3 linked regions of the Oryzias latipes genome follow. The protein of the gene in region 2 purifies or fractionates together with the protein of the main gene of each other region. This does not show direct contact. Links are inferred from orthologs where the notes say so. Each region holds a gene or a part of one and is shown on either strand. Other genes may lie near its edges.

Region 1 (3,650 bases), on a different chromosome or scaffold from region 2:
ATCTGTTGGTCTGACAGTGGATGATCAGAATGAAGCAGAGCAGGAAGCTGGCGGGACTCCGATTGTAGTTTCTACGTCACCGCTACAAGCTTTTGTCCAACTGCAGTTTTTGTCTGCTCCTGATTCACAACAATTTAATTAAAGAAATACTTAGACCTACATTTTAACATTAAGAGACTGCTAAGAGAACATGTAAAAACACCAAAAAGACTATTTTCATCTGAGTGGGTCTGTAAGGAAGGCCTGCCTGCCAATCTCAACTGAGGAGAGTTCTCTACCGTTTCACAGTTGAGGCAGCGCGTCTCATTGGTCAGTGTGCCCTGGAAGATGTCGTGAACCCACGTGGGCTCGATCTTGTTCTCCATCTCTGGCTCTGACGTGACGGGGGTGCCGTTGTTCTTCAGACGGCCGTTCTGCTTCTCCTGCTTCTTCTCCTCCTGCAGGATGTCAGCCACCGTGTTCAGCAGGTAATTGAGAAACTCGTGGGCATCCTGCTGCATGTAATTGTCAAAAAGATCTGGACGGAGACAAAAGACAGGAAGACGTGTCATGAGCTGTCCATTTAGAAACATCTGAGAGAAAAAGGACATTCTGATGATGTAGAGACCTTAAAGCAGTCTGTGCAGCACTGTCCACATGGAGCAGAAATGTTTATAACCGCTAGCTCAACCCTACAGGATAATAACCAAAAGCTGATTCTAGTTTCATAATAAAAGATTCTCATCCAGTCCCCCTTATCTCTGCATAAAATGGACCAGCTCTGCTGCCCAAGTTCACGTCTATAGCAACATGTGTTCAACGCAGGTGCATTTTACGCGTAAAGCCTGAAAACGGGCGCAGAAACTTGCATGGCTACACCCAAACGCAAGAGTTATGAACACAGAAGCCCGAAATGCGCATTTACGCACATTAGCACAGTGGTTGCATTGCCAAGGTGTAAACGATGTGAACGTAGCTTTACAGATGCATTAAAGTACTCCATTTAGATTACTTTCAAGAAAACAGCAACTATGAACCTCCTGGATTTGGACTGGTTTCCTGAAGCGCAGGTGAAATGAACACCTGGTGTCTCCATTTCTACCTGCTCACTCTGGCATGAGAAAACAACGGGGGGATGGGAGGAGGGTTAAATGATTAAATGCATTAAATAAAATTAAACACATAACATAATATATACTAAAACTAATAGAAAAAATAAGCATATGAGCTAGACTAAAAGCAAAACTAAAAAGGTGGGTCTTTAGCATCTTTGTAAAAACCTTTACTGCAGGGGCCTTAAAGTCAATTTACCTTGGGGCCACAGAGGGCCGGGTCTAGCTGAGGCTGGGCCGCAACTTCAGCGCTGTCTGAGAGCCAATGCCAGTTTGAATCAGAAATTTAAAAAATTCCAATCTTCTCCGATTTCTTATTCTATTTTATGAACACAAATAAGATGAACAAGGACCCTGGTGGAAACAAGTTGTGTGACTTTCTCAGGTACATCCCTTCTTTGGTAGTAAATTTGTATGGAACATGTGCGATATTATTAACTATACTATACTATACTATTATAAACTGCTTTCTGTACAAAATGTACTTCTAAAACTCTCGATCAAATAAACTCAAACACCTAAATGAAAAAAAACAATCAATAAATAAATCAGTAATACATTTCTGTTTATTCAGTTTTCTATATCTTGTTTTCAAACTTAAATGTCCTAAATTGTGTGAGGACAGCTGTGGCAGTTTCCCCTGACTGAAACTCCACAAAGGAACTCAAACATACAGACACATCGTATACTCAGGGACTAAGCTAATGCTGGTTGGGTGGGTGAACACATTCAACCATTTAAAACATCTTAGAAAGTTCCTGATAGCAACACACACTGATATACACACTGTTAACTCCTTTTATTCCTTTATTATTTTGGGTGTATTATGTTTATGTATTTTTGTATGTCTTGCTGACTTGTGTCTTACCTTTTTCAGTTTCACTTCCTGGGTCAAAGGACCCGATCTCTGGGTTTGGTAGGCTTTTGTAGGGCCTGACCAAAAATCAGCAATTAACCTCAACTGAAACCACCTGGCCCAGGGGAGGGGCCATGTCTTATAAAAGTGTGAATTTTGGTTCATGAGAGAGAGGAGTTTGGGTTTCAGAGCATGTATGGACATTGCTGCTGGTTACCTACTGTAAAATAAAAATAACAGCCATTTTCAGCATTCACAAAAACCTTGTGGAGTGGCTTTTATTGGTCTTGCCTTGGACCTGTCGGTCTCACTCCGGACAGGAGCGTGACAACAGCCATATAGGAATTAATAGCCAACTATGGAAAGAGTTTGACTGGAAAATCAAAAAGGTTTTTTTTCACACACCCCTGTTGATTTCTAATTTTGCCAAAGGCTCATCCACGGCCTTATGTTGGAGGCAATGTGGAAAAATTGGGGATCATACACATATTTTCTTTGATTGCCAAGTTATCTGCGAATTTTGGAAAGATATTAAGAGGGAGGTTGAAAGTATTGTAAAACATGACATTCCTTTAAGTACTCTGTTGTATTTGCTTGGTGTATTTCCAAAAGACTTTGATGCTGATCAAATATATATAATGCAAATTTTACTTCTGGTCGCAAAAAAAAACACAAAGGGAAATTGGAAAAATGTAACATCATTTAAATTTTATTTGGGGTTGTGACTGTTCCTTGTACCTTTGACTGTGGTTGTATGAATATATGTTTAACTGAACTGCTTGTCGCATCTAGCGTTAATGCATTTTTTTTTAAATTTCTTTGTTTTACCTGCTTTACACTATATTGAATGTGGACTTATGGTCAAACTTGTTTCAGGGAATTGTTATGTTTGTTTCATGTTGTGATGAGAAAACAAAAATAAAGAGTTAAAAAAAGTGTAAATGTCCTTATTAACAGTTCAGTTAGCACTGTGAAATTATAACTACTAAACACAAAAGAAAACTTACATTTTACAGTTCTTCAACCTCAATCAATGGGTTCTTCTGAGCACTTGCCTACTTCTTCCTGCTGGACACTTGGCTGCTTCCTCTGCTCCAGCTGAGAGGAAGCAGCTGAGAGCCTCAGTATGGCTTGAAGATGCCTGTCAGAAAGTTCTGGACCTGTACTTGGACTTCTTGAAGTTCAAGGTAGAGAAGAACTTTTCACACAAGTATGTGCTCCTTATTTTAAATCTATGATGAACGTTTTTTTAGGTTTGCTTAAAACAAATCAGTAAGAGAAACAAAATTCAGTAACAATCTGTTGATTTTCTTTCTTATGACTTTTCGCACATTCAAACCCTGGTCACAGGTTATTTAGGAGTAGCCAGTCAGCCACTCCTATATTCATAGTTGAATTCAAACTCTGGTTAGTTAAAGAACGGGCGCCATTCATTGGAGATCAGAACAAGCGTTACAGATACCTGAGATCAAAGAAAGACTCAAAAACTGGTGGAAATTCATGTTGGCAACACATCATACGTGCAGCCAAGATGCACAATAAGTGTGTTTGACATCACCCAGGTGGCCGCAACGCTGCGCTGATCACCTGGTGTCCAAAGTATGTTTTTGTTTTTGCTCCAACGTCACGTCACAAAAATATCACGAGAAAGGGGTGCGAGCAAAAAGGCGGCAACCTAAGCTAACGCAGCTGCAAATTTGGTA
Region 2 (4,383 bases):
CATGTTGGTCTCGTGTGACCACAGCACATTTGGCCAATCACTCACTCAGTCCTGAAGGGTATTGGCAGGTCTGCAGGTGTGCGTTCTTTAGCACACCTGCAAGATGTTAAAGCATTACCAATGGTTTTCTTGGTGACTGTGGTTCCACCTACTTTGAGATCATCAACTGACTCCTCCTGTGTTGACGATCTGACGATCATGGAAACTCAAACAGCTGAGGTCTTATTTGGAGCCCCAGACCCACAGGTGGATTGATGCTCATGATCTTGTATTTTGGCCAAGCTTTACTAACCGTCATCTCCTTCACCTCCAGTTTTTTGCCGATGGTTTAGTAGTCCATCCTGGTCTTTTGCAGGTCTATAATCTTCTCCCATAAAAGATTCACGTCAATCATCTTGTGATCTGTAGTAAAAGCAATTTCCTTGGTCTTTTAATTATGATTGGGCTGTTTTAGGCAACATTTAAATTTAAGAAATCTGTGTTGTTTTGGAGGACATAGTTTCCGGTGAGCAGCAGGAGATCATTAGAAATTCGTGGGCGGGACCGTTTACATGAGTGAGCCCGCGCTTATTTCCCATCATTCCTTTGTTTACGCTCTCTCCTGCTAGTATTGAGCTCTATCTATCTATCTATCTATCTATCTATCTATCTATCTATCTATCTATCTATCTATCTATCTATCTATCTATCTATCTATCTATACATACATACATACATACATACATACATACATACATACATACATACATACATACATACATACATACATACATACATACATACATACATACATACATATCCTCCATCATGAGGAAAGCATGTTAAAAACCCAATTTTCATTGAAGTGGGTCATTAAACACGTTGAACGCTCTAGTTTTTCCCATGTTGGAGAGTTTGGAGTCTGGCTGATTGTGTGGAGAGGTGATGTAACCCTTGTGCTGTCCTGGGCACTTTAACATTGGGAGTGGGGTCATCTAGACCCACTAGACAGTGTGCTAAACCTTTTTTCTTCGATGATTTGTGATCTTCACTGGTGTCCATGGATTACATGAAATCCTCTCCACCTTTGTCATGCTAGGGATCACATGCCAATGTAAGGATCGGGTCATCTGGACCCCATAGGATAGCAGATTAGTTCAAACCGGTGTCTTCAAATTAGGTTGATCTGGAAAGTCTAATTGGTTTGTGTGTGACTTTCTGAATGGTTACTATAGCAGTTTACATACTTACTACCTACAATTAATCAAAACAAATGTGTTTAGATTATTTAAAGGTAATTTCTTGATTTCCTATCGTTTCAAATGAATCAATATTAGGATGACAGACTGTCCATTTCTTTTTAGGAGGGCAAACCTAAAAAAAACAGCATTTGATAAACAAAAATGCATTTCTTCCAGTGTGGACATTTCATCCTAAAGGATTCCATCTAGGAAGTGTTTTTTTTTGTTTGTTTTTTGTTTTTTTAATCTGGAATGTGTCTTTAAGGCTCTCTGCTCCTGCTGGGTGTCGCTGTTTTTTAAGGGGTAAATCGACCTGACCAAGGCCGGATGTCCTCTCTGTACCCCCCTCCCCGGACCACCGTGGGGGTGTGCAGTGTCGGCCCACCAGGAGACGCAGCATCACGCCTCCGTACCGCCGGATGATCGGAGGCAGAGCCCCGGCGGAGGAAGGCAGATGTTGTCCGCGGCTCCGAGAGGCTGCCTCTGCGGGTTCCTCCTCCAGGCGGCGACCGTAAGATGCGCCGGGGCGGGCCGGGGGTCCTGGTCGGCCTAGCAGAGCTCGGCGGCGGCTGTTGTTCCGTACTTTGAATCGCTATTATTTCCAGGTCACGACGATCGCTGTTTCCTTCGCGGCTCGTTTGCTCTGAAAATGGCCGGAGATGGCGGCGCTCTGAAGGATATCAATGAGATTAAATCGCAGTTCCGGACCAGGGAGGGCTTCTACAAGCTGCTCACCCTCTCCGATTCGCAGCAGCGGGGCGGGCTGCCGCGGGGGCCGTCCGCCGGAGCCACGCTGGGCCCCGGAGCGGGCACCGCTCAGATCCCCGGCGGAGGGGTCGCCGTTTTGCAGGGGCCCGGGGCTGCAGCCGTCGCCGCAGCGGCGGCGGTCGCGGCGTCCGCCTCCTCCAATGCCGCCTCCAACAACTCCCCGACCGGCTTCCTGCCGCCGGTCCGGGTCTCTATGGTGAAGCTGCAGCCCGAAGACCCGGGCGAGGAGTCGGAGCGGGTGTGCTTCAACATCGGCAGGGAGTTGTATTTCTACACCTACACCAACATCAAGAAGGTAAGCTGCCGCCGCGGACACCGGGCTTAGCATAGCCTGCTATCCCGCTAACGCGGCACCTCCGCCGGCCTCAGCTCCGTCATGCTTGCCGCCCCGCTGGAGGTGCTGGCGGTGGAGGATAAGGAGGTGATGCTGGAGGAGGTTCATGATGTAGCCGCATGTTAACGCGGCTCTGCCGGCTCCAGGTCTGAACACTGCAAGGTGAATTATTTATCACTTTATTGACGCGCTGAGATAACCTTAGCGGTGCCCTCTGCAGCAAAGACCTTCCTGTGTGTTCAGTGCAGCGGGGGGGAAAGAAATCACATTTTTGGCATTTTTTGTTTTCAGGAAAAGGCCCAAATGTTCTCAGATATTTTCCAGCTAAGGTGTCGTATTTCACTTCCAAATAATCTCAAATAATCCTAAATTTTGGGCCAAAATAAGATTTTGAATTGATTTTTACCTTCATCAGTTTAACCTGAAATAATCCCATCATGTTTTAAGTTTATTGTGAAGGAATTTTACCAGGGGCAGAGCTACCAGAGGGCCAAGGGGGGCTGCTGCCCCCACCCAGCAAAAAGCTTTGCCTAGTGCTGACTGTCATGCAATTAATTTATTGCACAATTATTATTTTGAGTTGCAATTATTCTTAACCTAATAATTGCTCATTTTGAGATACTTTCCTTTAAATTCATGAGGTCAAAGTAAAGGTCAAATTACAACAAAAACTGACTTCATGAAGATTTCCTGATATAACAGACTTACAACTTTTACTTTTACATTTTTTCATTTGTGATTCTCTGCCACAGAATTTGGCCAGCAATTGTTTAAATCTGCTTCAATTGAATTAAGTTCTGTTTTAACCATTGCTGCATTTCATTCATTTTCTTTCGGCTCATGCTGTATTCATAGTTTGCAGCAGATGTTTTGTGCTTTCTTCCTTCTAAATGAACTGTTCTTGTTTTGTCGCTGTGGTTTACTGCAACATTCAACCTGTTAGCTGAAGATCCCCAGAGCAAACCGTTTGCAAAGAGGGTCTGATTTCATGAAAATATGTGAGGGGTCAGCATTTTTTAAATGCAAATAAATTATATAATGTTTTATTGCAATGGCATACTTTTTTATTTATAAAACAGAAATGCACCTAAATACATTTTTACCTAAATTACTGTGAATTTCATAAATGAAGACCAGAAATAAATAAGTTTGTCTGGTAAAAAAAAATCCTTTCGTAAACACAAAATCTTGGTTCCTGTGAAATATTACACATTATTCACCTCTAAATGCTCAAGGTTGACTTTTATATTTAAACCATGTGTACAGAAAACTAACACAAAAAGTTACCTTTTTCCTGAATTACTGTGGTTTTGATCACAGATATAAATACATTTGTTTTTTTTGTTTGGCCCTAAAGGCTCTGAAGGTTAAGTCGCCACAGGATGTTGTCAACGTAATTTATCCAATTGCAATCCAAAAATCATTGACAGTGATGTAGACATAACATTATTGATTTTTATGAGTCTGTGGGCCGGGATTTGGACATGCCTTTTCAGAGTCTAAAGCAGTGTTTTTCAACCAGTGTGCCGCGGCACACTAGTGTGCCGTGGGAGATGGTCAAGTGTGCCGTGGAGAAATTACCCTCATTAATCATTCACTGATCTAAAAACATTTTCCATCTCCAGGAAATCAGCTCTTTGTTCATCCAAACAGGCCCTGATAAAACACTGAGTAGTGAGGAATATAAAAGATCTTAAAATTACTTTTTCTTTGTGTTTATTTGATTCTATTAAAGACATTTTGATAAGAATGACGGTATTTACCTGCAGCTATAGCGGTTTGCGGAAAAGTCCCGCCCCTTTACCTGTCTCCGCCAATCATTGTTGAAGGCTTAATCACATGTCAGCAGTCTGACCAATCAGAAGTGGTTAAAGTCTTCACTTCCTTGTTCTTAATTCTGCTGATAAAGTCTCTAAGTTTCCAACAAAAATACCAGCTAAAGCTCGTCTTTAGCGGTGTAGCTTTCCACAGAGTCCGGTGTCAGACCGTGAACAAAACAATGAAGCTCACAGACGCGAGTCTTTCTGCCCTTTTTCGGCAGTTTTCACACTACATCTCCCA
Region 3 (4,314 bases), on a different chromosome or scaffold from region 2:
ACTGATACAAACTCCCTCCTTATGTCCAACCTGTCATGCAGGTCCTTATTTGCCCTTTGTTTAATCTTTGCCCTCTCCACCTTCACCATGTGATGCATCTCACTGTACTGCCGTCTGCTCTCTTTTGTCCTCTAAGCATTTTACTTTTTCTTTGAAAACCTTTTCCTCTTAACACATTCCTGAACTTCTTCCTTCCACCACCAAGTCTCCTTATCTCTTTTCCTCATTCCATACAACACAAATACCTTCCTCTCAATCTCCCAGATCACTTTAGCTGTCACCTGTTACCCAATGTTACACTCCTATCAGACTCTTTTCTCCCCTTGAATATTTTTGATGAACTCCCCCTTCAGGATCACTCCTACTACATTCCTCTTTCCAACCACATTGTGATAAAACAGCTGGAACCTGCTCCTAATTTATTACCCTTTCTCGTTTCCATCTATTCTCTTGAATATGCAGGATATCCACCTTTCTTTTTTCCAACATGTCATTCAACTGTGTAGTTGTCACTGTCAAAATCCCTACATTCAAAGTTCCACACTCCAAGTCCAACACATCTCTTTCTTTTGGTTTTGTTGCCAACTAACATGGCTTCTTCCTTGTACAGAAGTCTAATCTCCACTGGCACCAGTAGCATTGGTGGCGGTCAGTGTTAACCCAGACCAAAAATTATCTGGAGTCAAAGTTTGGTTCATGATTTGTTCGATTTAGTTTACATCGAATGCCACTCTTGACACAACCTTCTGAATTTACCCGCACTTGGGACAGTGACACAAAAGACCTGAATTGTGCCCTCTTGTGGTGACAGTAATTTTCTAATGACTAACAATATTCACTTATTTTTGGCACTTGATTTGGACATATTATACTGATTTCTGTAATAATGGCATGTCTACTTACGTAATTAATATGTATTTCGTCTTTGTCATTTGATTCTTTAATAATTTTTGATTTTTTTCAATGACCTGCACTTCAACAGGGATCAGAAATTAAGAACAGTATGAAGATAATTTAGGTAAAGAAAAAAAAGCTAGGTAAAATATAACTGGAGGGGAATTATATAGGATCACATCTAGGCAATTAATTTAAATAATTTGACAAATTCAATATTGTATAGTTTCAATGTGTCATGTTCTGTACGTACAAGCTAATGGTGGTATTTGTGATTAAGAGTAATTAGATTTACCAATCTAATTTCTTCAACTCGTATAACTGCCATTATAAAATAAATATACGATATTATGTTGTTCACATAATCAATTTAAATATTTTCTGATAAATCTATTAATCATTCACACAGATGGCAGTTTCGGAAAGTACATTGAGTTAATCAAAGAGGGCTGACTGCAGAAGCGAAACCGGAAGTAGTGTGCGGTGAGTGCTCTCGCGTCCAGCTCCGTCCTCCGCGAGCTCAGCAGTATTTCGTCCTCTCTAAGCAGTCTTGTCAGCGCGCGGCGGTGTTGTGGAAGATGGCGCTAGCCGAATGGAAATCCTAATGACAGTTTCCAAATTTGCCTCTTTTTGTACCATGGTAAGTGGACGGCAGTTTTACATAGTGATTATTAGGACTTTTTGCCTATGTAGAAACTGACAGTACTATGTTATTTGAGATTTAAATCTCGGAATTTTAAATGAAAACAGTGAAAATCGGATTCCCGTGCTAGCCGAGGAGGTTTCTGATGCTAACCGAGCAGCCACCCTCCTCCTTCTGAGCCTCTTCGCTTTTGCCGCAAATCCTTGAATGTTTATATTTGTTATTTATTTACTTAAAGTTAATGCTCCATTATTATTATTTTCATATTTACACGCCCTATTTGGTTGTAGTGACTGTGCACCTGCTGTAGGGGTTCAAAGCTAGCTTGCTAATGTGAAGCTAAAGCAATGTTTAGCTTCCCAGCAACTGGATTGAGGAAAACTTCCGATAAAAACACGTCCGGACTGTGTTTTGAGGGAAGCGTTGAACATTGTAGTGATGCTGCAGCGTCAACTACTATCAAATAACAGTTTTAGTGTTGGCAATGACGACACAGATTATTAGCTGCGCAGTTGTTCTTCAGACAGTTTGCTCGACAGTGGTGATACTAGGATTACATCTCTAGAAGTGCTTTTTCCCTCAGAAGTTGACAGCATCCTCCTCGAAAATAACCGTTATACTAACTGAAAGCTTGTTTATTATATATATAATGGTGCCACGTTTTGTTGCAAAAAGTACTAAAAATAAATAGAATTCAGGAATGGAGGCTGTTTATACAAACACCTGTGAAATGATGGGCTGCACTCTGGAGCTCAGTGAATTCCAGGGTGGGATTGTATTAGGATCCCACCTACAACAAGTCAGTGATTTCATACCATAGTTGGAGGGACATCAGCTTAACCACAAAGTGTCCGTCAGTTTATGTGGGCTTCGAGTGAGCAGATCATGAGACACATGACATGGAAATTTCTGCACTTAAGATCTGATTCATTGGTATAAAAGCATAACATCACCAGACCGTAAAGCAGTTGAGATGTGTTCTTTGGAGTAAGAAATTCAGGTTTTCCATGTAGCAATCACATGGATGTGTTTGGGTTTGATGTTGGTCTGACTGCACTGTGCTAAATGTGAAGTTTGTTGAAGGAAGGATTATGTTTGTTTTTCTGAAACTGGGCTTGGATCCTTTGTTGTAGTGAAAGAAACTATGAATACATTTCGATACTGTCAACTGTCTTTGGGGGGATAGGTTTAGGATGTTTTTGTTGCTGTTTCAATATGACTGTGTACCAGTACACAAAGGAAGATCCACAAAGACCCTCGTCTTTGGTGTGGAAGAACTAGTCTGCACAGAGGCCTCTCCTTAACCATCCTTTGGGATGAACCAAAGTGAAGACTCTAAGACGGACTTTTTCATCCAACATCGTTATCAGACCTCACCATTTTACCTACTGAGAAGAATGGAAGTTGTTATCGATGAAAATGATGGACTGACTTATGGATTATGAATAAGTACTTGTGGAAATCCAACATTCATCCCTCCCTCCACCCCTTCCTGCCTTCCTTCCCTCTCTCCCTCACTCTTCCACTCATCTGGGACCATATTATGCAGGAATGTTTTAATAGTCTAAAAAAATGAAAGAAAACAAATCTATTAAGTAAAAACAATTTAGCTTTGATGAAATTGTAATTGTTACTCTGTGGACCGCTACCTACATTTTGTTTTGGATAACATAAAAATTATCTTCTTATTCAGTCTCTCTCTCTATTTATTTATTTTTTAACAAGTTGTTGTGCAGACTGAGTATTTGAGTTTAAAAATAGTTCAGATGCATTTGATTGGTGCACATAGATTTGGAAGCAACTTGGCACCAATTCCTTTAAATAAAAGGATTCCTAATAGTTTTTTCCAAGTTGACATGGGCTTTAGAGGTAACAACCCCCCTAGAAAAAACCTAATCTCAGTTTATCGCTTATTAAATGTTAACAAGTTATGGTGACTAGTTTTTAAGTTTCACTTAAATAGCTTCAAAATAATGTTCAAAATCTATTTACTTTCAATGCTCGGTCTGATACATTCACCCAAACAGGGTCGAAAATCAGTTTTAATTAAATAACTCTTTGTAACAAGATTAGATGCTGGCTCATGAGCTGAAAAACATATATGATGATGGTGATTGTATTCTTGAAATGACAAAAATATTTTTAAAATCTGTCCTTTTGAGCCTCAAAACTTTAACCTTTTGACCAAAATGTGACCTTTAAAATCATGGTTGCATGTAAAAGTGTTACTAATGTGTTTGTGTTATTTTAACAAAGGTAAGGTGACTCTTGGTGCTTGTATGTTGTGGTGTTTTAGGGCGCCAATGCCTCTGCTCTGGAGAAAGAGATTGGATCTGAGCAGTTTCCGGTCAACGAGCACTACTTTGGTCTGGTCAATGTAAGTGACTGATTTGAAGTGCAAAACTTTATTTATTTAAAACTGTTTCACCTAATTTAAATGATACTCTTAAGCAGCTCTCAGCAGCTTTTTTATTAGCACATTTTTTTGTTTTTAATTCATGAGATTTTTGACAGTTATTATTTTTGGGTTATTGTACATTATTTATTTGTGTTTTTAGTTTGGGAACACCTGCTACTGCAACTCGGTGCTGCAGGCCCTTTACTTCTGCCGGCCGTTCCGGGAGAAGATCCTGGCTTACCGCAGTCAGCCTCGACGGAAGGAGAACCTGCTCACTTGCCTCGCTGACCTGTTCCACAGTATTGCCAACCAGAAGAGGAAAGTGGGTGTCATACCACCCAAGAAGTTCATCACACGGCTACGCAAGGAAAATGGTGAG

Evidence for each region.
Region 1: the proteins of WD repeat-containing protein 20 (region 2) and usp46 purify together in Homo sapiens (affinity purification with mass spectrometry; 5 studies listed by BioGRID and IntAct, counting the BioPlex papers as one, with this or other methods). This does not show direct contact. The link is inferred for Oryzias latipes from reciprocal best matches to the Homo sapiens genes DMWD and USP46.
Region 3: the proteins of WD repeat-containing protein 20 (region 2) and usp12 purify together in Homo sapiens (affinity purification with mass spectrometry; 3 studies listed by BioGRID and IntAct, with this or other methods). This does not show direct contact. The link is inferred for Oryzias latipes from reciprocal best matches to the Homo sapiens genes DMWD and USP12.

What each region holds. Positions count from the first base shown.
Region 1 is NC_019862.2:1,003,149-1,006,798, reverse strand, and holds part of usp46 (ubiquitin carboxyl-terminal hydrolase 46), read right to left. Parts: intron 518-3,650; coding exon 279-517; intron 1-278. UniProt on the Homo sapiens protein: Deubiquitinating enzyme that plays a role in behavior, possibly by regulating GABA action. May act by mediating the deubiquitination of GAD1/GAD67.
Region 2 is NC_019871.2:4,868,004-4,872,386, forward strand, and holds the start of WD repeat-containing protein 20, read left to right. Parts: upstream 1-1,535; 5' UTR 1,536-1,869; coding exon 1,870-2,283; intron 2,284-4,383. UniProt on the Homo sapiens protein: Regulator of the deubiquitinating USP12/DMWD/WDR48 complex. Functions as a cofactor that promotes USP12 enzymatic activity.
Region 3 is NC_019878.2:17,502,368-17,506,681, forward strand, and holds the start of usp12 (ubiquitin carboxyl-terminal hydrolase 12), read left to right. Parts: upstream 1-1,398; 5' UTR 1,399-1,486; coding exon 1,487-1,534; intron 1,535-3,833; coding exon 3,834-3,914; intron 3,915-4,095; coding exon 4,096-4,309; intron 4,310-4,314. UniProt on the Homo sapiens protein: Deubiquitinating enzyme that plays various roles in the regulation of the immune response and inflammation.